4 linked regions of the Lytechinus pictus genome follow. The protein of the gene in region 3 binds, or shares a complex with, the protein of the main gene of each other region. Links are inferred from orthologs where the notes say so. Each region holds a gene or a part of one and is shown on either strand. Other genes may lie near its edges.

What was found.
Region 1: WASH complex subunit 4-like (region 3) and WASH complex subunit 3-like share a complex: the UniProt entries of both Drosophila melanogaster proteins name them as parts of the WASH complex. The link is inferred for Lytechinus pictus from reciprocal best matches to the Drosophila melanogaster genes SWIP and CCDC53.
Region 2: WASH complex subunit 4-like (region 3) and WASH complex subunit 5-like share a complex: the UniProt entries of both Drosophila melanogaster proteins name them as parts of the WASH complex. The link is inferred for Lytechinus pictus from reciprocal best matches to the Drosophila melanogaster genes SWIP and Strump.
Region 4: WASH complex subunit 4-like (region 3) and WASH complex subunit 1-like share a complex: the UniProt entries of both Drosophila melanogaster proteins name them as parts of the WASH complex. The link is inferred for Lytechinus pictus from reciprocal best matches to the Drosophila melanogaster genes SWIP and wash.

What each region holds. Positions count from the first base shown.
Region 1 is NC_087263.1:2,398,239-2,406,128, forward strand, and holds the start of WASH complex subunit 3-like, read left to right. Parts: upstream 1-4,877; 5' UTR 4,878-4,995; coding exon 4,996-5,046; intron 5,047-7,547; coding exon 7,548-7,646; intron 7,647-7,890. UniProt on the Drosophila melanogaster protein: Acts at least in part as component of the WASH complex which may regulate wash nucleation-promoting factor (NPF) activity and is required for its membrane targeting during endosomal sorting.
Region 2 is NC_087261.1:28,106,269-28,113,592, reverse strand, and holds the start of WASH complex subunit 5-like, read left to right. Parts: upstream 1-4,316; 5' UTR 4,317-4,458; exon of another isoform or gene 4,459-4,896; intron 4,897-7,324. UniProt on the Drosophila melanogaster protein: Acts at least in part as component of the WASH complex which may regulate wash nucleation-promoting factor (NPF) activity and is required for its membrane targeting during endosomal sorting.
Region 3 is NC_087247.1:32,109,903-32,117,641, reverse strand, and holds the start of WASH complex subunit 4-like, read left to right. Parts: upstream 1-4,726; 5' UTR 4,727-5,034; coding exon 5,035-5,092; intron 5,093-7,739. UniProt on the Drosophila melanogaster protein: Acts at least in part as component of the WASH complex which may regulate wash nucleation-promoting factor (NPF) activity and is required for its membrane targeting during endosomal sorting.
Region 4 is NC_087247.1:74,320,081-74,328,101, reverse strand, and holds the start of WASH complex subunit 1-like, read left to right. Parts: upstream 1-5,003; 5' UTR 5,004-5,157; intron 5,158-8,021. UniProt on the Drosophila melanogaster protein: Acts as a nucleation-promoting factor by activating the Arp2/3 complex to induce actin polymerization. Participates in both linear- and branched-actin networks.

The sequences.
Region 1 (7,890 bases), on a different chromosome or scaffold from region 3:
TTGGCTTCACCATAATACAGTTTATTCTTTTTAAAAACCTCCATTGAAACTTGCCTCACCTCCTTTTAAACTGGCTTCACCATAATACGTACAGTTTATTCTTTTTAAAAACCTCCATTGAAACTTGCCTCACCTCCTTTTAAATTGGCTTCACCATATACAGTTTATTCTTTTTAAAATCCTCCATTGAAACTTGCCTCACATCCTTTTAAATTGGCTTCACCATAATTTGTAGTACAGTTTATTCTTTTTAAAAACCTCCATTAAAACTTGCCTCACCTCCTTTTAAATTGGCTTCACCATAATATTCAGGTAAGGTATATTCATTCTTAAAAAAAAAAAACATATTGTTCACTTCCCTCACCTAGATCATTTGGCTATATATAATACCTTTTATTCTACACTATTCTTCCCTTTAAAAAAACCTGATTGTACTCCTGCCTCCCCTGATCTGACATTTGCCTCTCAACGTACTGGAAATAGATACCCTTTTTTCAATATTTTTGTGTTTTTGACACCCTTATCACGTTACGTACGTAACCTGCCCTCTCTTGAAAAAGACATCCCTTTTACGTGTTTTTTTGGTCGCGCATATGGTATCCACTCGTCAATGTAAGTGGCCCCCCGGGCGTACTGTACATAGTGTTATTTTATTATCTCTTTATATCGGAAACTTCGTTTTACCGAATTGCCATGCACTCTCTCCGACGCGTTTGAAGTCTTAGACAGCATGGCATACTACCAGCCGATGGTACACACACGCACACACACACACGTTATTTGACAACTTGTCCCTGGAGCCAAAGTTCCTCGCATATAACTATCTGCATGCCTGCACGCAGTGTGTATTGAACACGCACGACCACGATCTAATGAATATTCATCGGCGAGACTGACGTAATTTTACGAGTCTCCTTTCAAACTTGGATCATAAGTGCCTACCGTATGAATGTCAATCCCAAGGAACAAAGCGAGTATATTAAAGGTCAAGTCGAACCCCAGAAAAATGTTGCATTGAATAAATAGAGAAAAATCAAATTAGCATTACGCTGAAAATTTCATCCAAATCTGATGTAAAATAAAAAAAAAGTTATGACACTTAAACGTTTCGCTTACTTTCACAAAACAGTGATAAGCACAGTGACACGCATATAAGACAATCGATGATGTCCTTCACTCACTATTTCTTCATTTTTTTTATTATACGATATTTCATTTTTACAGATATGACGATAAGGAACAACTTGACTGAATCATGTAGTATTAAACAATGCTAATTCCACATGTTCAGGGAGGAATTATTCGTTTTTTCACTTGAAAATGATGAGAAAATTGCAATATTTCATGAAGCACAAAAGAAATAGTGAGTGGATGACGTCATCAGTCCCCTCATTTGCAAACCGATTAGGATGTACATATAACTGTTGTGTGAAATTAAGCGAGACTTAAAAATATCATAACTTTATTATTGTACGTCGGATTTTGATAAAGTTTTCACTGTTTTACTTGTTGGATTTTTCTCTTTCTATTCAAATAAACTTTTTGTTGGGATGGACTTGTCCTTTAACGAATGCTATTAGTCATGTTAGTAATGAAGAATCGCTGACGTTGGAGTGAAAATATACAAGTTTAAAATTGTTCAGTTCAGTTCATTTATTCATTAATGAGTACAGAATTATATAAACATAAAAGATACACTTCAAATATATACATCAATAATTTGAAATGTAAACATGCAAAAAAAAAACAAATTAAAATAAATACAATAATATTATTAGGCCTGTGTGCAGTAATGAAAAGGGTGATTAAATAAAGCCAATATATATAGTGGCCTTGTGCATGAGGTAAAGTCTCCTAAAATAATAAATGATAATATGGAGGCTACTCAGTATCAACATGATCAAAGTAAATATGAGAACTTCGGTTACAAAGGTAAATGGATTAAAGGGATGGTCCAGGCTGAAAATATTTATATCTCAATAAATAGAGGAAAATTCACAAAGCAAAATGCTGAAAATTTCATTTAATTTCGTTTCATTTCGTTCAATTTGATCAAGATCGGATAACAAATAACAAAGTTATTGAATTTTAAAGATTGCATTATTCCAGTGAAACAGTTCTAGGCATGTCTTTATAAATATTTTATTAGGTGGGCTGATGATGTCATATCCCCACTTGTTCTTTTGTATCTTATTATATGAAATTATGTTTATTCAAAATTTTTCTACCAAGAACTAAAACAATTGGATTGACAACTGATTAAGTGCATTAATTATTTATTGCCGCAACTTATTTCATCATAATGGAGACACATCATTTACACAATGTATGAAAAAATGAAAAATTTATGATTTCATATAATAACATAAGAAAAAGGAAAGTGAGGATGTGACTTCATCAGCCCACCTAATGAATATTCATGATGATGTGCATATAACTATTTTCACAAAATATTGACAAATTTTAACATTCAATAACTTTGTTATTTGTTATCCGATTTTGATGAAATTTTCAGCATTTTGCTCTGTGAATTTCACTCTATTTTTTTAGATATAAAAATTTTCAGCCCGGATCATCCCTTTAAGAAAACGGACGTACAGGATAAGCACAAATGTTTTACAAATCGTGTATAGAATTGTAACATAGCTGCAAAATTAGGAATATTTTGAATAAAAGTATTGTTTCAATTTTCATTTAAAGAGGGAAAGAGACTTGCCTGTGCCCTGTGGGAACAAATTTCGGTATAGAAATTCCAGATTATTGGGGAGTTAAAGCATAAACCTTTTTGTACATAGGACATGTAGGACTTTCCTACTTTCCAAAAATAAAACAAATTACGTATAATTACATATAATTCTGTGTCAATGTACAGCATTATTGATACAAAATTTTTTACTAATCTTATTTGTCAGTATTTTTTAAAGTAGAAAACCCTAATATTGCAACTTGATATTGATAAAGATGGACAATATTCAAAGTATTAAGTTTACGAAATAAATGAGATGAAGCTGAAAGATAATGTCTGTTGGTGCATATATAAATTGTTTTTTTTTGTAATTTAAAAAGTTTATCTAATTTGGATTTACTGCAATTACCCCAGACATCAATACAGTAAAGAATGTGTGATAATGTTAACGAATTATTGTAAATAGAGAGTACCAGATTTAGGAAGGCAACTTCTTAACTTATACATAATTCCAATACATTTCAATTTTGGTGAACTTTGTGAGAATTTACAGTATAAATGTAATTTTTTTAAATTTTTTTCAACTTTCTTATTATTTCATATAACAACATATTTGCAATTGTTCATCCGGTCCGAATCTTAACCCAGAAAGGCCCGGGGGCGGATTCCGCCGCCCCATCATTTTTCACGATAAATCCGCCGAGCTCGCTGACTCTTTACTTTCAAATCTCGCACAACTTTTGAGACCAAATTTGCGATGCCCAGGTACGCGGTTACGAAATACTACGCAACATTATGTAAGTGCATGTCAGACCCAAAACTGCTCAAAAACGTGAATTCATGTACAAATCCAATGCAAATTGTGTATTTAGCCAAAATTCATAAATGTATCATCATTTCTACTCTTACTGATTAAACTTAATTAATTTTGTCTTGTTTATGATCAGAATTATGTCTGCATCAATTTCCATCGGAAAAAACAATAAAAAAAATAGAATACATTAGAAAAAAATGCGATACCATTTTTTTTTAAATACATTTTATTTTGATCGGGAACCTACAAAGAGTCTGTGAATAAAAAAAATCGGAGTTTTGAGGCCGTATGATAGTCGATTAGAGCAAATGATTTATTTCATGCAAAAATTAATTCAATAAATGAAATATATTATTATTTGAAAAAAAATCATACAGCCTTGTAGATCTTATCGCACACTACCACTGTTTAAACTTAATTAATTTTGTCTTGTTAATGATCAGAATTAAGTCTGCATCAATTTCCCTAGAAAAAACATCGAAAAACAAGGAAATACATAAGAAATTAAAAAAATAAAATACATGAGAAAAAATTGGGATACCATTTTTTTTAAACTGATTAAACTTAATGAATTTTGTCTTGTTTATGATTAGAATTAAGTCTGCATCAATTTCCATCGAAAAAAACAAGGAAATACATAAGGAAAAAAAATACATAAGAAAAGAAATGCGGTACCATTTTTTTAAAGTACATAATTTTGATTGGGATCCTACAAAGAGTCTGTGAATAAAACTATGAACGCACTGTATTAGCAGTTTTGGCGCCGTACATAGTTGATTAGAGCAAATCGTTTGTTTCATGCATAAAATAGCATAATTAATTCAATCTGTGTTAAATAGCTGCAGGATTCAATAAATGGAAAATATTATTATTTCAAAAAATTAACCATACAGCCTGTAGATCTTATCGCACAGTACTACTGTGCACCCCCTCCCCCCGGCTGTGAGATGGGTCCAAATAACCCGGCTCTTTTAGGTTTAAGACGATGCTCTTAACTTTAGAAAGTCTACGAAGTGGATGCTATACTGGGCGTTGTGGCGTGCGCCTGTAATCCAAGCTGTGGGGAAGTTACAAATTGATGCAGAGGTTCGAGCCCTGGTCACGTCTTTCGGATGGTGACGTTAAAGGTCGGTCCCAGACGTAAATAATCATATCTGATTGATACACGTCTGACAAAACTCAAATACACACACACACACACTATATTCCTGTTGATACGAACAAAACAAGGATTAGATAACATGGGATCAATTCCCTCAATTCAACCATGGACCCCCATGGACCTACTTTGCTTGTAGGTCCATGATTCAACCCTCAGAAAAAAAAACAATTTGCTCGCTCGCGCTCGGCAAGTATTGCAGCCCTCTCGCGTCCACTTCTCGCCAACTAGCTGTAATAATAAACCGGAAAGTGAAAAACTAAGGCTGAGTAAAAAATAGACTTTCTATCAATACTCGCCATTAATGGTTAACAAATAATCTATTTTCGAACCAGGATGGACGCTGACGGATTACCCCTTGTAGGACCAGGAGTAGATTTGACGAAGGTAAGAGGATTTTATTGTGAAAACGATTTTTATCAGCAGAAAGTTAGGGGCGTCACTAATTAATTTTCTTCGGTCCCACATGCCTATTAACATGTGTGCATGTCAGTGTCATTTTGTACAATCGTCGCGTCGCTAGCTAGCTAGTCACCCAGTGCAGTTTGTTTTGGCGCTTTGTTACAAATAGCTAGTCTTGAATGTACCTTTTTTTTTGCATCGATTAACCTTTTGGATAAGAGAGCAAATAATGAGCAAAGTGTGTGTGAGACAATTTTCAACATGTTCAAATGAACTGCTAGTCAGCTGATGAAAAAGTCTGACTAGTCTCTGTCTGTCTGACTGTGTTTTGTTTTGTTGCAATGATGTAAGTGAAAGAAGAGTGTAGGCCTACATGCTGCAGCTGTGCTTGCCATACATTGCCATTGGTTCTCAGGCTTTAGTTTCTTTGACTTTGGGATGTAATTCCATTCTGTTCATGACATGTCACTTAGTGCTTTAGTGACTTAGTCTTAGACAGCTGGCAGCCGTCTGTTTCGAGGAGTTTTTCAACATCTTTTTATTTTTTAAACTTCTCCTCGTACACAGACGGCTCGCTATCGTGCAGCCACCATTAGGGGGTGAACAATGCAAAATCCCCCCGACGGGGCACATCGATTTTTGTCTTTATTTCATAAAAGGGTCATTCTTCAATAAGTGTATATTTTCGACCATTGTGGGATGATGAAATTCAAAACTATTTCTAAACTTTCTTTTTGTCTGTTTAATATATTTGTACATCTGTAGATTATGGAAATACTGTTTGGCGCGATCTTTATGGGGACTAAGTTATAATTTTGGGGTCTTTTTAAACATGTACACTGTTAATGCGTCATCTCCGTCACAATAGACATCACCAGCACTTACACAGATATGGGTATGTGGGACAAGGTAAAGTTAATGATATCTGTAGTACTGTACGGTGTACCAATTTAGATCTGAAGTCCTCCAGACCAAGGCCAAGGGTCACTTTTCATGTTGTAAATATAGCCGTAAGTTTATCATGAGCCCATGCAATGTGTCAATTAACTAAGTTCATAATTCAAATCAAACTCATCATCTCCGTCACGAAAGAGCCGTGACGGAGATGATGCGTGACGGAGATGACTATCAGACACATATGCACCGATAATCAATGTCTGCAATACCAACTAACGCGAGTGCGGCATTGGCTGTTCTGTGGGCACGTTAATCTTTCATAGAAACGATTAGAAAATAAATGTAACACCTTTATCTAGCTAATACCAAGCGTTCGGAGATGACGCTGAATAAAGGTACGCACCTGGTTTTTGACGAAGATGCCGCCCGAACAATGTCAAAACCCCGGAGATCAGGGAAAAAACGTGTCGATTCTTTCTCCGTACTATCCACCGGCCATTTTGCAACCACAATCTTGAAAACCGTGCACTTTGTTGTACTGTAGATGGCGCACTGAAAATGCGTGACGGAGATGACGCAAAATCGTGTGACACAAAATAATAGGCCTTAAAAACAAAAAAATCTTAAAATCGTTGCTTGCGCGTGTATATTTGAGTGGTATTCGTTGTCAACTCATAAAAATTAATTTATCAAGGCATATTATTACAAAAAGATGCATAATTTTAAAAATGCAACACATGTTTATGTTTACATTATGTTATTGTGACATGCAATTTTGAGGGGGGTGGCCATAAAAAAAATTAAAAATAAATTATATATGATATTTCTTTTTGACCTGTTTTAATTTTTCATTATTTTTTACATACGTGTTAGTCAACACAAAGCGGTAAAAAATAAGAAAACTTTTTTATATTTTTTCATGGGACTCCAAAGCCATGTGACACAAAAATATACACTTATTGAAGAATGACCCAAAAATATTGAAAAAGAATTGAACCAAAATAGAGATTATTATTCCGTTTTGGCCTGAAATGCACCAAAACGGGGAAAAATAAACTTAAAAGGGGAAAAACAGTGACTTACTTCAGCTGTCGCGCAACTTCACTTCCCCGTTTTATCCGAGCTTAAGTACATAAACATATGGCCATTGAGTCCCCTACTCCCCTGTACAGATCGCTCTAGAACTTCGGTCTCTGTATTTGGTGAGTGGAGCCAACGTAGTTCAGCGGAACAACCAACATAATTAACATAGACTGAAGCTTTTGGTCTATTAGTGACTTAGTCTTACCTAGGCATACCTTACCGCAAATACTGGCTGGAAGAATGCTGAATCAGCAGTCGAGCTTCCAGGTCTATGTTCTTGTCAGCTACAGGTCTTCATGTCAGCTTCCTTCAATCTTCATGCTTCAGTAAGTTCAAGGAGGCAGGGGGGCAAGTTGGTGAAAATTGCTAATTTTTTCCTGGAATCACAAACACCCCTTCATCCTCTTAGTTGATTGTATTGTCTAGATCTACATTTTTGTAATTCAAAACTAAAAGCACAAAGTTGTTATTCTTGAAATTTTCTTCTGTTTTTTTTTTAATTTCAGGTTGGTGCTATACACTCCAAGCGAATGCTCGCCTTTTTAAACCACTTCATCATACACACAACCAGGTTTCTCAACAAGTTCTCCTGTGTTTGTGAAACGGTAAGGAGTAAATTGGCTAGTCACCAAGATTTAGTTACATTAAATTTACCTTCATCATGGACTCCTATGTTGATGTTTGTACTTATCAATATCATGTAAAACTATCGCTGGCCTGGAAAGTTGGAAAGTGCTCTTCAAAAGTGCCATTTTATGGTCAAAAGAAGTTATGTATTTACTAGCGACAGGAAATTGCAAATTTTTGTACCCAATGGTCATGATGGTACATGTAGATTATATTCAAACT
Region 2 (7,324 bases), on a different chromosome or scaffold from region 3:
AAATATCATGAACACATAAAAAAAAGTGGTCTTCATTTGCCTTTTTTCACGTGATTATGAATTAAGATCATTCAACATGCATTTTAGGCACCTGAAACCTAGTGGGGAAAAGAAATTATTGTATATTATATTACAGTATTACAGAAATATTTTTCATAACTTTATGAAATATTATTTGCTTATAGGACATACTGTATGTGTTCATCATTCAGTGGTGCTCGATCGCATTGTCTGTTTAAAGATATATATAATCCTGCCATACTTGGTGTGTTAGTTTGTTCAGCTTTGGGGTCTGATAGGGGGGGGGGGCTCATGGGACGGGAGAATGCTCATATACATTCATTCTTTAAATTTGCGTAGTTGTTACGTCTTTGTTTTATTATTTGCTTTATAGCTGCATACATAAGTTGTTGAAATGTTATTTTTGCATGAGTTCGGATTATGTCTCTTTTCTACAATTTGCCTGCTTTGTTTATTACACTGTTATTTAATTTGTGTATTGCACTGCTGCAATTATCATTTTGTTCTATATTTTCTTGATTATGTATGTATGAAATTTATTTGAATGAATAATAAAGATCACTACAAAACAAAAAATACTAAAACATCCCGTTTTCAAGTCCATATACATCAAATCTATTTCCTCGCACTTCGAGTTATTATTGTTTTATAAAGTGACATATGCTTTTTTCATGACTATTTTATGTGATTGAATATAAATCATTTCCAGTCCGTATTTACGTTCGCATTAGTGAGATATGTCTGCTCTTCATGGATTCCTATAAACAGTCCTTGAAATGTCCCCCTTTCTGGTCTAATAATAAAATCTCTTTAGTCTCTCTCACCCATGGCTGTAGGGAGCGGAAAATTCGTTTTACCCCCCCCCCCCCCCCACGTACCACCCACCCCAGGAAAAAAATCTGCGTTCGGCTTCATGCACCCCCTCCCTCCCATAAGTTATTCTACAGAGAATATACAGTGCGTATCAAAAAAAGTTTACACTTAGAAAAAATCCTGTAAAATTATACATTTGTAATATCCTGAAGATTTTTCCACATTTTAACATTGGTACAGATCCATTTAGGCAAATGACGATATAACTGTCGAAAATATTTCCGCTTGAGTGAGCACCACTTACTTTTGAAAACTTAGTGAAAAATGTTTTGCGCAGAACTTTGAAATAGTTATGGGAATAAAAGTAGACCTTAATTATGAAGAACACATTGAATTTAGCTAGTAAAATTGGTTTGAAGATACCTTTTACCTTTTTAACTTGTTTCCTTGTCCAACACACTTCGAAGAGTGCATTGCACCCATGGGCGGAAATCCCGGGGGGGACAGGGGGGACGTGTCCCCCCTACTCAAAATAGTAGGGGGGACACAATATCAAATGTCCCCCCTACTTTTTTTGGTCTTTTATGATGGTAAGAAATACATCATTCTAAATCGAAATAAAACATGTATTTTTTGGGACGAGTTGGGACGAGATGACCTTACTTTTGGGATGATAACCTTTTTTTTTGCTTGTCAAATTTCCCGCCTCTTGTCCCCGTAGGCGGACCAGGGGGCCGAGGGGCCCGCCCCCCCCCCCCCCCCCCCCCCCCCCTCTTGGCGGAGCAAAAAAAGAAAAAAGGGAAAGAAAGAAGGAATAAAGGAGGGAAAAGAGAGGAGAAAAGAAGAGAAGGACGACGAGTGCATAAAATAAGATGAGGGGAAGACTTGAAAAATAAAAATAATCTTTCGTGCCACTATAGAAAATTTTTCGCTCGCGCTTCGCGCTCGCATTACCTGTTAGGTGATTTAATATCTTGTTCAATATGGAGCTCGAATGTCAAGTTTGGAAGTCAATATACAAAACATATTTCACCTCGGAAATCGAACTTTCATTATTTTGTGTGATTTACAAATTGATTTTTAAAAAGTGCTCTGTAAAAATGTCAGTTTTATGGTCTGAATATTAACATTTGCTGCTTGCGCTGCGCGCTCGCAAATTTTGATTTATCAGGTACCTATTATTTTCGTGTATTTCATAAAGTTTTCAAAATATCCCTTTTCAGGTCTGATTGTTAAGACGTATCAGCTAGCGTGCTGCACGCTCGCATTTTGATTGGCGAGTTATATATGTTTCAATATTGATTATACAACAAACTACTTATAATCCCCTATTCATGACACAGTTTATCAAAAAATTTACCTCGCAATTTGCGCTCGCATTAATGGTTAAAAATACATTAACTGATGCATCCTATTCATAATTACAGAAGTGAAATGTCCACTTTCTATGCCATAATATCATCAGATTTCGCGCCCTCATATAACGGGCATTAATAAATATGATATTAATTTAATAATCAAATTGTCCCTTTTGTTTCATCTCGCTTAGCAAGAGGAATAGGAAGATAGTCATCATTTTCATATGATGACATGTTGTAAGGATGTCCCGGTCCTATGTCAAAACTCAGAGTAATAATAATGAAAATATCAGCTCCGGTTTTTAAGTGCGATCCATATCCACCTTACAATTTTTCTACAAAGTGCTTGAAATATAAAGCTGAACTTGACTCTTTTTTTCAGATCGGAATATCAAAGTTTCATGATTTTCATGATTGAAGATGTATTTAGAATGCCTAGATTCTAGGTCTAAATATGAAACACGCGCGCGCATGTTTATTCAGATACTCAACTTGTTCTCTATTTAAATCATTATCCAGTTTCAGATCACAATATCACTATTTTTCTGCTCGCGCTTTGTGCTCACATTATTAATGTAGGAAGACCCCATATTACTCATCCTTTTCATGATTTACAAAACATGAACAGAGTGGCCCATTTTTAGGTCTAAATCTTGATTTTTTTTCTGCTCGCTCTTCGCGCTCGCATCAATTATTAAATTATATAGCTATCCTGTTCACGATTACAAAAACTGATTAAAAGTTTCCTTTCTTTCTTTAGAAAGTTCAAAATTTTTCAGCTCGCGCTTCGTGCTCGCATCTTTTAATTGTTGAAAATATGTAACGCCTTCATGGCTAAGTGCAAGCAGTCCTTAACAGCTACCTTTTCAACAGGTACCAGTTCAAAACGTATATAAAAATTTTCTGCTCGCGCTTTGCGCTCGCATTATTAATACTCATCCTTTTCATGATTTACAAAACGTGAATAGAGTGTCTCGTTCAGTAAATATTATAGGACTAAATCTCGAAATTTTCCGTTCGCGCTTCGCGCTCGCATCAATTGTTTACTTATATACCTATTCTGCTTGAGTTACAAAAAGCGCTTAGAATTTCCATTCTTTGGGTGAAAATGTCCCAAAAAAATTAGCTCGCGCTTCGCGCTCGCATCATATAAATAAGGATTATGATATTATATATTAATTAATAAGAATAAAGCTAAGAAGTGACTAATGAGGACTATCCCTTCAAAGAAACAAACAAAAATCATCTTCGAGCTGCCGATCGGGGAAAATATGGCTGAAACAAATTTCCGCCCCCCCCCCCCCCCTATTGGCGAAGGCTGGATCCGCCCCTGTGTCCCCCCTACCTTTTGGGAGAGATTTCCGCCCCTGATTGCACCCCACCCTACTCCCCCACACACTGAGGCCATCGTGGCGATATTTGCTCTACACTGAGCTGTGATTTACATGAAATGGCTTAATTTTTAGGCTTGATTTTCATTTTGTTAATCATTGTCAAGCTTCGAAAGGGTGTGGAAAAACAAGTATTAAATGAAATTTGAAATGTAAACCCACTTTAAATGATAAAAACTTAGTGAAAAAATGCTGGAGATGTCTGATATAAACTTTTGTTCAGATTTAGTTATGTCCTAGCTCAGATCCAGCTGGCACAAAAAGGGTAAAAGTTGTGCTTACTAAGTGTTGAAATTTCAATTTGGGTGGCAAAATTGTTACAAAATGCTTGAATGTATCTGTTGTATTTCAATTGACTAAAAGTGCAAGGGAAATGTATGAGAAATGTTTCGCAGGGTAAATTTGATTTCGCCCTTTCCCCTTGACACAGCGTGAAACTGACGGGCATTTCTGTGCAAACAGCTAGATCTCTGCGAGCTTTACAAAAATGGACAGTGCTCACTCAAGTGCAACATTCTGTCAAACTTTTACTTTCATTGGATAGAAGAGACCCAAAGGTTATATGTGAAAAATTACCCACGTGTTGTATATTTTTTTAATTCCCAGGGCTTTTTCAGAGTGTTAATTTTTTTTTGATACGCACTGTAGAATCGCTTTCGTAATGCCCGTGATTCCTTTCTTCCTACAGTTGTGAATCCCACGGTCAAAACATATCTCCTTCCCGGATCTCCTTTCACTCTTATGATTCGGAAAGAGGGGTTTATATATTCATGAGCCGATTGTCGGTCAGGGTTGCCTTTTTCTTTCATTTGAAACATACAACCAGTTGGTGCCCCTGATGAAAACTGAGTGAAAATTAGTTCCTTCCGGCCTGAGTGAGTCCTATCTTTTGAAGTGCCTACTCGGCCTATTCTAATCTATGAAGGGATCACAGGAAATCACTTTTAAAAACTGCTAGTTTCTGTTCTCTTTTGTCTTTGCAATGCAAGTTGAATTCTGATTTTTTTAATTGTAGAGTAACACTCTCTGTGAATAATTTATGAAAACTTTGTGGAACTTTTAGAGAATCTAGAAAGGTAAAAGTAGAGCATTTTGGATCAACGACGCTAGCGCTCGGTATATATAGCCGTGCGCCGCGACCGCGAAGAGGTCGTGAATTCGGATCTTTTCGTTTCGGAATTTTGTTCGATAATTTACATTCACATGATTCAATATGGCCGCTCCCTGGAGGGTCTGAGATAGTTTCTTGCTAATTACTAGATCTTCCCATTTCCAGTTCTATTTTTGATACAGTGAGCTCATTTATTGAATGTGTGAGTATGCATTTTTGCTTTTCATACAATCATTTATTTTTCATCCTGTCTCATTAAAGATATTTTTATGAAGTTGTGTGGGGGCGGAACCTGGAAGTCGTTAAGCTCGGTCCCATACGTCGACTCTCATGTTATGTTTGGTTAGCTTTTAAAGAGGCTGTTCTTACTACGTTCCTAAAACTAGTTTACTATGGCTCACAGCTCCTGTGTCTCACTCAATCCTCACTCAACAAACTTGACTCTGCCCAACACTCCCTTTTCAAGAAACTCTTGGGTCTACCTAACCCAGAGAGCTCCGGCCCGCGTAGCGGGCCGGAGCCCAGACGCTCAGTGTGCAAACGGGCATTCAGGTGAGAGTACCGTGAAGTTTGGTCAAAATAATTTTGATAATACATAATTAAAACAGAAATTAAGCACTTACCACGATTGTATGGATGATAGTCTAACGAGTGGCAGTTTCCTGACATCGAGGCACAGACTGGAACCTCAAAAAACGATCAGTTCTGTCGCGGTAGCTCTCCTCTTTCAGAATTCAACACAAAATGGCCGATCGAGACCGAGGCTAGTATAGCACTAGCGCATATAGACTTTGTCAAATTCGCGCATGCGCCCTACACCCTCTCGAACGGCCATTTTGCTATGAATTTTGAAAGAAGGAGAGCCACCGCGACAGAACTGATCGTTTTTTGAGGTTCCAGTCTGTGCCTCGATGTCAGGAAACTGCCACTCGTTAGACTATCATCCATACAATCGTGGTAAGTGCTTAATTTCTGTTTTAATTATTTATTATCAAAATTATTTTGACCAAACTTCACGGTACTCTCACCTGAATGCCCGTTTGCACACTGAGCGTCTGGGCTCCGGCCCGCTACGCGGGCCGGAGCTCTCTGGGTTAGGGTCTACCGAGATCCACTCACACGTATTGCGAGGTTAGTATTAGTATACTAACCTCGCACCACGAACCGCGTTTGGCAGTGGATTTCTAACTAGTGGGTCGCGCGTGCTGGGATCTCACTTCTTGGGTCCACAACACACGACTTCTATGGCTTGAATTTTCTGTGCGCGGCGGCATGTAATGAACCCTTGGGTGACCGAGATCTGCCCCCAATATCTCTATCTTCCTGTTAACTGACCTACTTCACCTCTCCCGCGAGATTTGAACTGAACACTTTCCTTCTGATAGGACAGCTCTTCAACATCGACCATAGTAGATTTGAATTTCGCTCATTCCTCCATGCCCTCTCCATCAAGACTCCTACTATCATCTACTGGAATAAACTGCTCTCTAAGTACAACCTTCCCTCACTCACCTCTCTCCTATCTGAAGATTTCTCATACAACCGCTGGAAAACTCTGTGCAGGAGTAAAGTGTATGATGCCCAAATGGAAGAAGCCAGAGTGTGCATTGAGAAATTCTCATCCCTCAGCCTATGGAGTAACCTCTCAATGCTCCCCAAGATATCGTCACTTTACCCCTCTTCACTACCGACCCATCTTCGATCAGCTGTGATCTTACGCGCTCAGCTACTTACGTCCACCTATCCCACACAACGACGCCTAGTTACCATCAGGAAGAGCACAGACCCAACCTGCAATCTCTGCTCTCTAGAGGAAGAAACCACTACCCACTTTCTTGCCTCATGTCCAGTCCTTTTGACGCAGCGTCTGGACCTACTACAGCATGTTGAGAACCTTGAATTGCCTGCACACATCCTAAATGATTTCACTGGAAATGACCCCCTCATCCTTGCATCCTCCATCCTTTTTCCCTCACACTCTCTGCCCTCCTCTTCTGCTTCCTCTCTGACATGTCACTGCCTAAGATACATCTTAAAAATCCACCTATGTCGACAGCACCAACAAGAAAGGACCTGAACTTTGCGGCTTGCCGCCGATCTCCGAAGACCGGAGGAAGGAAATATACAAGAACAAGAACTGGAAACTAGTTTAGTGGAAACTAGTTTAACGCGTAGTGAGAACGGTCGAAGCGATCTTGCAAACCAGTTTGGAAAACCACCTCGCGATGTAGTTTTCAAGATCGCTTTGCCTCGTTAAACTGGTTTTACTTTTAGCGTAAGTGTAGCCAGGCGGCTTCTAGAGAGTAAAAATCATTTACTAACGTAAGGTCACTCTCATGAAGCCAGGCCTTCTATCCCATAGACCCACACAATGGAAGCCAAAACCTGAAACTTTCACCCCCGAGATTTCTACTTTCCTTCTAAAAGATCTAGCTCTAAATCACTCTAAGCACCAAGGCTATTAATTCCTGTGTTAAAAAAGTGAGTGCACGCGAATTAAATGTTGGACTTAAATTACTAGATCTTACCATGGAGCTCCATGACGAAATCTGTTCTTAAATTAGACTCTAGATATTACTAAATTGAAAAAATGTATAAATAGTACTCGCCTGGTCTTTTCTTGGGGTATT
Region 3 (7,739 bases):
TCAGGCATAAAAAGGCTTATCTATACTATAGATTTGTGTCGGAACTTAATCATAGACTTGCCACAAATTAATGAATAATGTTACTGTGTTTAAGTCAAATGGACCGGTCATGGCCATCGTTTGTAACTTGTTGTAAGCAAGACTTGAAAACACACACACATCAGTACCAGTAATCAGTAATCAGTAATCTCAGTACCAGGAACAATTCCCTGCGCTGCATGTACGAAACTGCACGTACGCATACGGATAACGGTATGACGTAACAGTCATTCATTCATTCATGACATGGCTTGACCTATTACTTGAGCAAGTAACTTATAAATAAAACGCATAACAGAAAGTTTCAAGACCTGAAAGTGAGAGAATAACTTATAAATACGTTTGAAATGACTACTCACACGCAGAACAAACACGGAAATGGGAAGAAAAGGGTTTCTTGATGATTTTAAGCTCACAACTTCAGCTCAGTCGCCGACGGCGACGTTCTTCACTGGTTTCGTTTGCGCAATCGCTTCTATAATCTCCTGTTAAAGACACTAGATGGCGGAGTATTTTTTTTTATTTGTCAATTGATATGTTGTTTTTTCCCATGGAAGAGAAATTGGGCAGTTAACTTCATTTCTAATAATTCTAAAAATATTTGTAATATCATTGATATATTTATTTGTTTCGTATACATGTACAAAATCTTGATTTATATAAATTGTGATTGTAAACTTATTGATTTGAAGGAAGAAAATAAAATATTATAAAAAAGAAGTCATGTACAAATAGTAGTAATATTGATGAATTATTCATTAATTTGTTCTTCTGACACACTGGCGGATCCAGGGGGGGGGGGGGCACAGCCGGCCTATATATATATATATATATATATATATATATATATATATATATATATATATATATATATATATATATATTTATATTTCTATGTCTATATATACCATTGCAAAGGTCAAGTCCACCTCAAAAAAATTTTGATTTTAATCAATAGAGCAATCTCAGAAAAGCATATTAAACTGCTGAAAATTTCATCAAAAGCGGATGTAAAATCAAAGTTATCACATATTAAAGTTTTGCTTATTTTTCACAAAATAGTTAGATGCACAATTTAGTCACATACAAATGAGAGAATCGATGATGTCCCTCACTCACTATTTCTTTCGTTTTTTATTGTTTGAATTATACATTATTTAATTTTTTTACAGATTTGACAAGTAAGGACAAACTTGACTGACCCATAAAATGTTAAACAATGGTAAATACAAATGTTCAGGGAGAAATAAAACTTTGTTTCACAGGACAATGGAAAGAAAATTAGAATATTTCATATTTCTTATAATAAAATACAAAAGAAATAGTGAGTGAGTGATGTCGTCAGTTCCCTCATTTTGTATAGGGCCTACCGACAGGGATGTGCATAGAACTATTTTGTGAAATTAAGCGAAACTTTAAAAATGTCATAACTTATTTTACATCCGATTTTGATGAAATTTGCAGTGTCATGCTTGTTGGATTTTTCTCTTTTTATTCAAATCAACTTTTTGTTGGTTGGTTGTCCTTTAAATAAAACTCATGGCAAGTGATATGGGCTTGCTGCACTAGCTGGTGAAGAAAGTGAAAAAGACATGTAAGCGCTATAGCCAGAGGGGGAGGGGACAAATTCCTACACACTCTCCCCTCGATCAATTTGCTCCCTCACAATATCAACCCCCAAATTTCACAATAAATTTTGGGTCCCCTTTGAAAATTCCTGAATCCCTGGGCCCGTATTCCATAAACGAGATAAGCATGCTTAAGTCAAAAATCTAAGCATTTTGTCTTAGTTTTCTGTCTAAGACAAAATTCTTAGCCAAAACGCGTATTCCATAAAGAATTGGCTAAGAATTTTGTCTAAGAATTTGGCTAAGAATTTTTGCGCGACTAAGACAGATTTAGGATGAATGGCTAAGTAACTTTTCTTAAATATGCAGAGTCTGTATTTCATAAATTCTACATGGCTAAGAATTTTGCCCTAACTTTAAGACAGTTGTGAGTTGTCTTAATTGCTTTAAGACAACGTTTAAATCCAACAAATCATGGCCAATTTTTTTTTTAGAATTTATACCTATATTGCATTTCGAGCTACTTCCTCAGTTTTTAACCAATTTTCATGAAATTTGGAACACATATTGGTCTTAAGGTAAGGAGGTGTAAGAATTTTTTTTTTTGCTTTTTCAGAAATTGTGTTGCCATGGTAACAGTATATTATGGCCAAAATTTAAAATTTAAATTACTTCATCGGTTTTCTACCAATTCTCATGAAAGTTGGCTCACACATTGGATTTGAGGAAAAGATGTGCAAGACACAATTTTGCATGTGTCGGAAATTGTGTTGCCATGGTAACAGTATATTATGGCAAAAATTATGTATAAATCTTGCTATTCCAACTACTTCCTCAGTTTTTAACCAATTCTCATGAAATGTGGCACAAACATTAGTCTTGATGTGAAGATGTGCAAAACATATTTTATGCCTATATACAAAAATTGCGTTGCCATGGCAACAAATAAAATAACAAAAACTAGATGAAAATCTTGTAATTTGAATTACTTTATCAGTTTTCAACTGGTCAATTCTCCTAAAATGTTGGCGCACACAATAGTCTTGAGTTGAAGATGTCTAAGATATACTTTTGCCTGTATCAGAATTCGTGTTGCTATGGTAACAACATGTTATATAAAGAAATTAGGTGAAAATCTTGTGGTTTGAATCCCTTTATTAGTTTTACCAATTCTTATAAAAGTTGGCTCACACATTGATTTTGAGGTGTAGATCTGCAAGACATATATTTGAAAATTTGTTGCCATGGTAACAGCATATCAGATCAATAAATGTGTAAACAGCATGATGTGTATTGAACTACTTCTTCATTTTATGACATTGGCCTATATGTCCATAAAATGTAGGTTTTGAGCTAAAATAATCTGCAAGACACATTTTCTCATTCATCAAAATATGTGTTTGTATGATAACTACATGTATACGCCAAAAAAGATTAAGACAATGGTCAATGCTAACTTTTGTTTGGCTACATAGAGAACTACATGTAGCTGAGGGCTTAGTTCTAGTTTTTTTTTTTTTTTTTTTTTTTTGGGGGGGGGGGCTAGACCTCAAGATTTCGAACTACAGCCCCTAGTTTAGATCTAAGCCTAGATCAAGATTCTTTAGTCCTAGAAATAACCCAATGCTAGATCCCTAGCCTACTTCCTTTCTCAGGCCTAACGTTAGATGAGTAGGACTAGACTAGATCTAGCCTACATTTACTATTTTTAGATCTAGAATCTACATTGAGATAGAGTCTACAAGTCTCTAGATCTACACCTATTACTATGACCCTATGTACACCTAGATTGGTATAGTCTAGATCTAGATAGGGTCTAACTTTTAGTCTAAGTGAGTAAGTCATTTAGTCTAGATCTAGGCCTAGGTTAGAGATTTCTAGATCAAACAGTAGACTAGATCAGCCAGTCCTAACGTTAGGGCTACCGGATAGGCTAGAAATAAAATCTAGAATGAATAGAAGAAAGCACAGGCTAGGCCGCCTAGGCCCTACCCTAGATCTAAATTCTTATATAAATCTAGGCCCTAGTCTAGACTGAGCTGTTGCCAGTGTTGGTCTAGGTTTAGGCCTGTTTTCTAGTCCTGGAAACCTAGATCTAAACAAGTCCTCAAAATGTATAAAATAAAAACTCCAAACAAACAGATGGACCTAAAGCAGGAGTAGATCTAGATAGATGTCTAGACTACTACTAGGACTAGATCTAACTTTAGGCATAGTTGGCAAGCAATGCATAATAGCGATATATCTAGCACTGTTGACAGGAATAACCGTCGTTTCTGGGGATTTATTTAAAAGTTTCTGACATTTACTGTCATATCACATTGGTGAGACTAGGCCAACGTAACGTTAGACTGTTTAGTGTCGTACTCGTAATACTAAAATAGCGGAACAACCAAAATACAGTCGGAGACTGAAGCTTTTGGTCTAGGCCTAAGTCAGATCTATTCTAGACCTACATGTAGATCTAGATAGATCTATCCCTGTCTTAAGGCTAAGCCAGGCTAAGTCCTGCATGTTCTAGGCCTAGACCAATACTAATATAGGTCTATCGTTAGATCTAGGCCTAGTATGTAGCTTCAGTCTCAGTTGCTCCACTACGGCACTAGACTAACAAGTCAAAGTTACGTTTTGCTTCAGCCTTCAGGAAAGTAAAAAGTAAAAACAATGTTCAATTCTCCTCCAAACAGACGGATATTAGTTGTAGATCTTGGGCCTAGGCTAGATCTAGGCCTAATGTTAGACCCAAGACTAGTCTCAAAAGTTACAAATGTTTTCCCTTAGACCCTAGGTCTACTTCAACTGAAGTAGAATAAAGATGTCGAGAGGAATCTACCCAATCCCATTTAGATTTTGACAAACAATACATGAAAAGTAATGAATGGGACTGATACATAAAAAACTGTGCAAGTCACTCGGTTTGGGATTGAAATGTTTTGGTAATTAACAAAATATAGAATACACTGAATAAAGAATTCTTACCACATATGGGTGATGAATGCTCTTCTTTTACTACAATAGTTGTAATTAGTTTCAATAAAATCAAACTTGTTAAGAAAAAACAACTTCAATGACATTTTTGCTATTTTGTTGCAGTCACCCCTGCAGCAGTTTAGAAGGTCATAGAATTTGACTTTGAGACTTTGGCTTAGCCATATCGTCTGACTTGAGACAAGTGTCTTAAAGTTTATAGAATATCCTTAGGGAAGATTTCTTAGACAAGCAAAATGCTAAGACAAATTGCTAAGACTTAAGCAAAAAGCTTATCTTGTTTATGGAATACGGGCCCTGAGCCTTAACATTTACGCCCCCCTCAACCGATTTAGCGAATGGGGCCGAGTTTCCGTAGCTGATTTTTCTCTGGGCAAAAAATTTGAGGACCGCTACGACTCCAATTCCGTCTGCAACTGACTTCCAAAGTGAACTTAAAATGACGGGAGAAGCTAAATCTGGCTGGGAATTTGATAAATTTGATGACGGCTCTTTGAGTAAGTATTCAGTATTTATTTAATTTTATATTTGACAAAGTATGAATGTCGAAAACAACTTTGTAAGTGAGTTTGTTCGAGCGGGTGGATCGGGTTGGAGCTCGGAGGCGGATGTTGTTTGGGATCACATGACACAATTGAGGTCTGTGTGTGTAGATTGCACTAGCACTGTACATTCACATCACTGCTTTGACTGTGACTGTGTCTGTGAGGCCGAGGCCGAGGGAGGGTGATGAGCTGTGATGTGCACAGCTAGAAAATGGGACTGTTACAACAACGAAATCATTAGACTTGTTTTTATTTTATTTTATCCAATGATAATCATTCTTCTGGCATCTTTTTTGTAAATAAGACAATGTCTGGGGCGGGCAGCCGGCTGGTTTTTAACATCAAAACGGAATAAAAAAGTGGGTGGTTCCCGGCCAGACACCGAGAGCTGAGAGTGAGAGTGAGACTGAGAGAGACAGACTGACTTCACTTGGTGCTAGACAGCTGGCAGCCGTCTGTTTCGAGGAGTTTTTTAACATTTTTTATTTTTTCATTTCTCTTCGTACACAGACGGCTCGCTATCATGTAACCCAGGGAGCTCCGGCCCGCGCAGCGGGCTGGAGCCCAGGGGCTTACTTTAACTGGTATGATGGGGTGTCCAAACTTCGCGCACTTTTCAAAAATATTCATCAGGCTTAATTTTGTTCACAAAATATTCATAATTTATACAAAACCAAGTCAAGAAATAGTTACCACATTGACGGCAAGATCGTAAACTATAAAATCATGGACGAAAAATGTAAAGTAGGTCAAGGGGTTTCGCCGGTATCGCGATCTCAAAATTCTATTCCGATCGGCGAATGCGGGCTGTGCTGGAAAACCGTTCAGAAAAAGTGTGACCTAACTTCGCGCACCAAAGCTTTTGTGGAGATTCAAACAAAAACTCAAGCTCAAAAAGTGAAATTTTATATCAGATTGATGGCAAAATGCTATGGAATCGGTTTATCTCACATTTTTGATGATTTCTGCTTGCAAAATGGTGATATCGTGATGCTTGTTGATTTCTTCAAAACGGGCGCTAGCGGTGGCAAATTTGCCGATCTTTTGCCAATATTTTCATGAATACTGAACTCATCCTAAAGAAATTTTCACTGAAGGGTAATTTTAGGTCGCTTTTAACGATGATGATGTCAGATTTTAAGGATATTGGCTAGTTTTTGAGATAATGACCGTCCGCGAAGTATGGACACGCGCGAAGTTTGGACTCACTGCCATACATACATAATGTACAGTACTCTATCTGTAGTTTTCAAGATAGTTATGCAGTCATACTGTAAGTCCTTATTCTGTAATAAATTAAAAATGTTATGGTTATCACTATCAGGTATTGATAGTTATAGTTTCAGATAAATTGGAAAAGGTCAAAGATAATTTCAGGTCAATACACTTTGTTAAAATTTACATTTTGTTGATCATTTTAATAGTAATTAATCAAATTAAATCAAACTTTTATGAGATATTTATGGGATATCAAGGATGATATCAAACAAATAATGTGTTGCCAAGTCAAGGGTAACGGTCAGGTTTACAAAATCACTATATTTGTGTAATATTCCATGAAGGTTTTATAAAGGAGTATCATGTGAGCCATCATGTGAGTCAAATGTCAGGTCAGTGGATCAAGGTCAAAGGTCATTTCATGCCCCCCCCCAAAAAAAAAAAAAAAAAAAATGGAGGAAAATTTATATTTTGTCCTAATTTAAAAAAAATTATTTAGTACATTGCCTTATCCTTGAACCTTGTAATTTATAAAGAAAATAGATCTGTCAAGTCAAGTACTGTATGATGGTGGGCCCCAAGTCTGCGCACCTAACAATTTGAGTTAAGATTTCACATGAATTTCTTCTTATTTCACAAAATCTTTCAGTTAATAAGGTTCCTTATATTATCATGAGTAAATGTACCAAATTTCTCATTGAAAAATGAAAGAAAATATAGGATTTTCTTGAAAAAACCTCGGGCAGTCATTTTCAGATTGAAAAAAAAAATGGTACCCCATGTCTGCGCACTCATTCACTTTGCACACGATTCGGGGATTTTGATGAGAAAGGCTGCATTTTGAGGCCGTCACATGAAATGCCCAAATTTCATTATTTTTCCACCATTTTGAGTCAGATTTTTTTATGAATACCTGTCTATGTATTGCATGTGTAAAGTCTGTGTTCGTTGCGTATCTTCTTACTAGAATCGCGCAAATACGCGTGTGCGCAGACAAGGGGGACTGCGCAGACTTGGGGGAACTTGCCATACATGTTTTCACATGAAAGTATATTTAATCAATTGTAATATTTCTAGGGCTAAGTTACTTTGCTATGTACTATATATTATATAGCATGTTTCTTTATTTAAGCAGATATATAGATATTAAAAGGAGCTCTTAAACTTCCAAGGGAAATAAGATGGGCATTGAGGCTAGTCAACTTGGTGCCCTAAACCTTAGCCCTCAGTGGCCTTGGCTTTAGATTAAATTCAAATGATATACTAAAGAGAGAAAATGTTTTATATGAAATTTTCACAGAGTCAAAATTGCTGCTAAAATGAAATTATGCAGGTGAGACAAGACAGCCAGGGGTATATTCTAAGTATGAATGTCCAATGT
Region 4 (8,021 bases), about 42 Mb from region 3:
TCTGCAAACATCCTATTTACTAGAAAAAAAATTGAACACCACCATGACCATGCGTGCTAATTCACATCTGTGTAAATGGAGATAAACATGAAAGAAAACATTCGTTTGCACAACCCTGAAATCTCATTAAAAGTAGGTCTATCACAACATCGATCTATATACCCCTGTCCTAAAATATTATATCTTACGTATAAATATATCGACAAAGTACCCTTCCATTTTAATTTATGAAATAAATTGACAATAAGAACGCAAAATAATATGTTAACAGATAGGCCATATGTGTATCGTGTTGGTAACAGCCAGTGGCGTACCTAGGATTTTCCACGGGGGGGGGGCAAAACCGTCCGCCAAAAAATTTGACAAGCAAAAAAAAAAAAAAAAAAAGGTTATCAATAGAGGTATTCAAGCTCGTCAGGCCCCCCCCCCCCCCCCCCCGTAGATACGCTAGTGGTTACAGCATGGACTTACATGGTGACAGGGCCCTTCAGTTGAAGAAAAAAAAAACATATATGAATGAAGTGTTTATGCCTATATTATGATAATATGATTAATAAATTGAATTGAATGATATTCTAATAATTTAGGTTCTGCAATTAAAAGCCCGGACAAGCTTTATGTATAATGTGTTTACTTTGTCAACAGATTTATAAGTTAGTTCTCGCCGACAAAAAGACTGACCTCCAGATGGAGTATACTCCATACCCCTCTGAGTTTTCCTCTTTTTTTTTTTTTTATAGACAAAGCCTATGAGCCTACAGATACTCATCCTTATAGGGCACATTGATCAAAAGGGAAATTGTTATTTCAATCATTATTTTATTTGTCATATTATCTTATAGGCCTAAACCACTTCAGTCATATAATTATGGTGTCACCTCTAATAACCTAGATCGTCTGTAGAAATTACAGAATAAAGCAACAAGGGTCATTTACTGTCAATCATCATAATACACCCCCCCCCGATTACACTAGCTGAAAGTAAAAAATCGAATTCAGCACAAGTCTCTGACATGATTGAGGAAACTCCTGCACCATACCTGTCACACCTCCTAAGAGTTCGCCAATTAATGTACAACACTCGATAATCATCACATATATCTCTCTTCACATCTCACGGACATTCAAATCAATCAGTCAATAGGCATGGGTGGAAATCTCAGGGGGGACAGGGGAACGCGTCCCCCTAACCAAAATGGTAGGGGGACACGATTTCAAATCGAATACATTCGTAATTCCGAAGCTTCGTTATTCCGAAGGTTCGGATATTCCGAAGGTTCGTTATTCCGAAGGTTCGTATTTCTGAAGGTTCGTAATTCCGAAGGTTCATTAGTCCGAAAACGAAATGAGGTTCGTAATTCCGAAGGTTTGTTAGTCCGAAAACGAAGTGAGGTTCGTAATTCCGAAGGTTCGTTAATCCGAAAAAGAATGATGAGGTTCGTAATTCCTTATTTCGTTTTCGGACTAACGAACCTTCGGAACAACGAACTTTATTTCGTTTGCGGATGAACGAACCTTCGGAACAACGAACCTTATTTCGTTTTCGGATTAACGAACCTTCGAAACATCGAACCTTATTTCGTTTTCGGATTATCGAACCTTCGGAATAACGAACCTTCGGAATAACGCCACAAATGTTCGGATTAACGAACCCTTTTACGTTTTCGGATTAACGAACATCGAGGTATAGCCAATTTACGTGTTTCGGAATTACGAACCTTCGGAATAAAGAACCTTCGGAATTACGAAGTGTAACCATTTTACATGTCCCCCTTCTATTTTTGGTGGAAAGAAATACATCATTAAAAATCGAAATAAAACATGTATTTTGGATGAGATGACGTTGCTTTTTGGGTGATTACCTTTTCTTTTTTTTTCTTTTTTTGCTTGTCAAATTGTCCAGCCCCTGGTCCCCCTACTTTTATGGAGAGATAGGTCAAAAGGTGATATGTAATTTTCTGTGTTTGCCCCCAAAATATTGGAATGCAGACATTACCTCATAAACTTAAACAACGTCCTTATATTGATGTGTTTCAGAAGATGCTCAGATCTTATTTGTTTTGATATATTGCAAGTAGTATTTCATTTTGTGTTGTTATATTTTAAGTTTTTGTATAGCGCTTTGTAACTTTTTGAAAGAGCGCTTGATGAGAAGTTATTATTAATAAAATTGTGCCCCCAAAATTTACGCTATTGAGACGAAATTGGGTGATTAAAAGTTGTGTATGTGTGTGTGGGTAGGGGCTGTGCCCCTGGCATATAAATCCAGTGGCCTAAGTGGCCACGCCCTATATTGGAGGCACAAAAAAGAACGAAGGGGAAAAGAGAAAGAAAAAAGGAGGAGGAAGGAGAGGACCAAAACGAGGAAAGACAAGAGGAGGAAGAAAGATAAGTTTAACTGGTCCCATAATGTGGAATAGTCTCCCTAGCAACATCCGTTAATGTTCTACAAGTATTAAAAAACAACATATAACTTATTTTTTTCAGTATATGATCTCCTTAATAATATACGGTATATTGTAAGGACTTCGAGTTTTTGGTGAGTAGAATTTATTGTCAATTGATTTGATGTTTCAAATAAACATTGCTGCTGTTTATTTTGTTGGTTTTCATCTTTTGATTTTTTTTTACTGATTATTGTTGTACATTGTAGCAACATGATCAAACAATTACAGTATAAAACACATTACATACAAAGAAATATAGTGAGAATTAAGACAATTATCATTAAAATCATTATATATTAAAGTGGGGACCATTTCTTATAATGAACTTGTTGAGATTTAATACTATACTTTTCGTTGCAATGGTATCATCAATAAAATCGTATAAGAGACAGGGGGGGGGCACAGTGCCCCCTTTTTTTGAAGCACTGAAAAGGTGTCCTTTTTACGCAAGAAAAATGCCCCCTCACGAATGTGTAAATGTTCCCCTTTCATCTGAGGAGGACCCGTTTTAGGTGTCACCAAGTGCTCTTTCTCGCATAGGTGCCATTTTGTTGTTGTTGCAAAAATGCGCCCCTTCTCGAACCTCTAATGTACCCCTTTCACCTGAGAAGAACCCGATTTATGTGTTAGAAAGTGCCCTTTCTCGAATCAGTGCCCCTTTTTACCCAACTTCAAAGTGCCCCTCACGAACGTGTTCTGTGCCCCTTCATCTGAGGAGGACCCGTTTTATGTGTTACCAATTGCCCTTTTAGGTGCCATTTATTTTGTTGCAAAAATGCGCCCCCTCTCGAACGTGTTCTGTGCCCCTTTCACCATAGAAGGGCCCATTTTACGTGTTAACGAGTGCCCCGAAACAAGAAAACAATAGTCTAATTTTATTCTATTCAATTCAATTTGCATTTTTTTTTCATTCTCGATTAAAAAACAAATATAAAATAAGATATGAAAAACTATTTACAAGCAAGCTAGAGTATACAATGAAATGGGGAACTGCATAAATAAAGCCAATAGGCCTTATAAGCGCAGTTCCCAGAACATTGATAACATGACATGGTATACAGAAACGATAAGATGTAGAATTAAACATGATACATAAACAATAACAACAACAACAACAAATAAACACAAAGAAACAGAAAAAAACATAGAAAGTGTCAATTTACAAGAGAAAAAATAACTAGGCCCTATACATTTTGAGATATAGAAACTGTTTAATTTTTTAAATGACTTAACAGACTTGCATTCATTTAGGGATGGAATTCCAAATCCCAGGGAAATTATGTCGTAAGAATTTCATGACATTATTAGTTTTCACTGGCCATAAGTGGAACGAATCTCTAAAACGGGTATTGGAAGAGAGTCTTTTAACCTATGTTAATACTTCATGCTTTTATTACATGTATTGGAACGAAATTTTGAAATTCAAAATTGTTTGTCTGAATGAAATATTGATTACACACATTCGATTTAGCCCTATTTGAAATCAAAACAGTAGCTATAATGAATAAATATTAATACTTCATGCATTTATTATCGGAATGAAATTTTAGATTTCTTTTTCGTACTGAGATACTGATTACTAGTAATTTCTATACATTTTTTTTAAATTAATATCTCGATACTTCATGCACTTATTGTAATTTTCAATTCTTTGTAATAAAATATTTGATTACACACACGAACTTTAAACCTCTTTTGAGGCAGTACAGTATTTTAGAATCAATATGTTAGGACTTCACGCATTTTTTCATTAGAATGAAATTCTAAACTTTCGGTACTGAAATACTAGTTAATTCTATACAGTAGCTCTTTCAAATAAGGTGTTAAAGTAATACTACATCGGGACTACATCATTGTCCATTGGAATGAAATTCTAAATACTGGTTATTTGTATACTAGTAGTAGTATACCCTTTTTTAAGTATTGTTGTCTTTTGTCAAATGGAGGCTTGATTTATGTAAACGAGTAGCTTATATAAATGTAATATATGTATAATATTGACTTGAAGTTGTGAACAAAATGGATAAATAGAGACGAACTTGAAATTGAACTATAGGCATACAGAATACCAATATATTTAAATATTTTTGGGTCAATTTTTAAACACGAGTCCCATTGCATATGCACCATAAAATTAACACATTTATCAGTTAAAACTTTGTCTATTTCAAGCAATGAATTATTGAGTTCCTCGTTACAGGCATGTTTCCACATATTTTTTTCGCAGATGGGGTACAGAACATACATTTATGAAAGTTAAGTGTGGAAACATGACATCATACCCCCCCCCCCCCCCCCGGCCGCTGCGCTGCATGACGGTACGGTGTGCATATATCAGGGCCCAACTGAGTTCATTTTTGTTATTTGTTATCAGATTTGGATGATTTTTTCGATGTTTAACATTTTCTCGGTGAATTTTACTTTATTTTTATTAGATATAATAATTTTCAGCCAAGAGTGTGGGGCCTAGCGCCCCCCCCCCCCCCCCCTACACGGCTAGCTCAGACCCAGAGCTCAGTCAACTTTGGCAGTGCAGTGCATGCCATATGCAGTAGTACATATACCCCGGAAGTGATGGTGAGTCAACATGCTAGACTTGTACCGGTACGTAGCTAGTTGTAGCCTGTGCATGTGACCAACATAAGTTACCGTACCCGACATCGTTTGCGCAGGATCCAAATAATAATATATTTCATCGATTCTGTGAATTGTAAGTAGTAATTTTTATAACGAAAAGTGCTAACAGTCATTGCTCATTTCAGATGGATTTATTAGCTGTGAAACGTAGTATGAAAGTTAAATGCTCTACACTTACTAGTATCGGCAATGTAACGTAACTAAGCCAGCCACACGGGTTGGACTCCCTTGGCTTGGGATCGGGGCAAAGTTCGTACACTGTACCGCCCAATCTACGCCCCCTTGGCCTTGAAAGAGTTTACAAAGACAAGGCCAGGGACTTGCACATTTATTGTTTAGACAGTAAGGTTATGCCTAAACAAACTAGATACATGTACAGATTTGGACTGGGGGAAAGCTGATGCAGCTATAGACAGCTGGCAGCCGTCTGTTTCGAGGAGATTTTTAACATTTTTTTATTTTTTAAATTTTCCCTCGTACACAGACGGCTCGCTATCGTGTAGACCAAAAGCTTCGGTCTCTGTTATGTTGGTTGTTCAGCTGAACTCTGTTGGCTTCACTCACCAAATACAGAGACCGAATTTCTAGCGCGATCTGTACAGGGGACTCAATGGCCATATGTTTATGTGTATTAAGTTCGGATAAAACAGCTACAGGGCAGTGAAGTTGCGCGACAGCCGAGGTAAGTCACTGTTTTTGTTCCTTTTAACTTGATTTTCCCCGTTTTTTGGCAATTAATGCCGAGAGGGAATATTAATTTGCATTTCAGTTGCGTTAATTTTCAAAAGTTTGATTCATTACAGACAAAAATTGAAGAGCCCCAACGGGGGGATTTTGCATTGTAAGTCCCCTAAAGGAGAAATTAAAAAAAAAAAAAAATGTTTAAAAACTCCTCGAAACAGACGGCTGCCAGCTGTCTAGCTATCGTGCTGACACCATTAGGGGACTTACAATGCAAAATCCCCCCGTCGGAGTTCAGCTGAACAACCAACATAACAGAGACCGAAGCTTTTGGTCTACTGCAGCTATAGACCAAAATCTTCGGTCTACGTCTCTGATTATTGCATGTTCCGCTGATTGGCTTTGGCTCCATTCACCAATTTTAGGCTACGTATTAAAGTTAGACCAAATTTCTTACTCGATCTGTACAGGGACTCAATGGCCATATGTTTATGTAATTAAGTTTGGGTAAACCAGGAAAGTAAGACTGTAAGTCAATGTTTTTTCCTTTTATAGTTTATTTTTTCCCGTTTCGGTGCATTTCAGGCCAAAACTGAATAGATCTAATATTATTTTAGTTCTTGTTACATATTTTTATGAAATAAAGACAAAATCGATGAGCCCCGTCGTGGGGATTTTGCATTGTTAACCCCTAATGGCGGTTGCACGATCGCGAGCTGCCTTTGTACGAGGAGAAATTAAAAAAAATAAAAAATGTAAAAAAACTCCCCGAAACAGACAGCTGCCACAGTACCAGCTGTCTACCGCAACTATTGTTTCTGTCAGTTATGTGTGGATTTTACTGTAGAATGAAAACTTATTGACAACATATATTGCCAGAGCTCCACTTGCTCACTGCGCAGTGCAACTAGCTAGGAGGCTCCTAGAGAGTAAAAATCTTTCACTAACGTGTGCTTACTCTCCAAGGAGCCAGGGATTGTGTCTTGTTCATGTGCATGTACCGCGAAAAACTGAAACTTTCGCCCCTGAGATTTCTACTTCCTTCTAAAAGATCTTGCCCTAGATCATGTAAATGGGATACAGTTTCATTTCCGACATTTCTATGATATTGATTCAATTTTAAAACAGAATGCAAAAAAAAAAATCTTGAAAAGACAGGAAGACTTGCCGCGATGTTTGCATCGCCATCCTGTTCTTTTTTGTCTTTCGCCAAGCTACGTAACGCACATTGAGGATGTTTTCTTGAAAATAACTGTCTATGATACATGATTTGTAATGAAAAGCTGCCTGTGGGATGAATTACTCTGACTTGTGACAATCTGCTCTATATCCTACACTGTATGTCCATTTCTTTAAAGACCCTGACCGGTGTAAAAACAATCATATATCAAAATAAAGGTAATGATTCATACAATACGAATATACCAAAAATATTACATATATCTCCTTCCAATAGTTAAAAATATTAAATAAAAATCAAAGAAACTGCTCCTCCAAAGTACGCTTCGATTGAGCACCCCCACGTCGCCTGGAAATGATGACGTCACGTTGTGTCAGGAGGGTTGTGATTCCATAGGTTTGTGTACAAAAGCATTGGGTATTTTCTTCCATTTCCATGTTATGAATCCATTTTTTTTTTTGTTTTCAGATGAAAATGGCACTCAAAATTATTCACTGTTCAAATTGTTGTAAACCTACAACTATTCACTACCTTTTTTGTGATTTCTTTGTTTGGCTCTTATTGGGCCTAAATTGCTATGTCAGGAAAAGTTGTTATACATAATCTAAATGCAGATAGAATTGAAATCTGCGCCAAATAAGCAGGAAATAAAATATGGCAAAAACTAGTTCTAAACTGCAGATTTCATAAATTCAAGCTTGTGGGTAAAAATATATGTGATATCCCTCTGTGATAGAAGTGAAGAGAATGAAATGCGTTATCTGGAAAGCAAAAAAATCATCCAGTTTTTCTGTGTACAAACCTATGGAATCACGACGCTTACAACGTGACGTCACGGTCTCGAGGCAGGTGAAAAGCACAATAAAGCCTATTTTCTAAGCGGGGTTCGGGGTTCGAAACCCGATAATTGGAATATTCTTAAGCAAAATACTCAGCTGGGAAGCGGTGAAAATGCATAAAGCATACCTTGGTGTATTTAGTAGCTTATAAGCTTTCGATTGGTATATAATTTATCAATTTCATTTTCGGGTCCGGTCTGGATCTTTAAACAAAATGATTGTGAAATTCTGCAGATA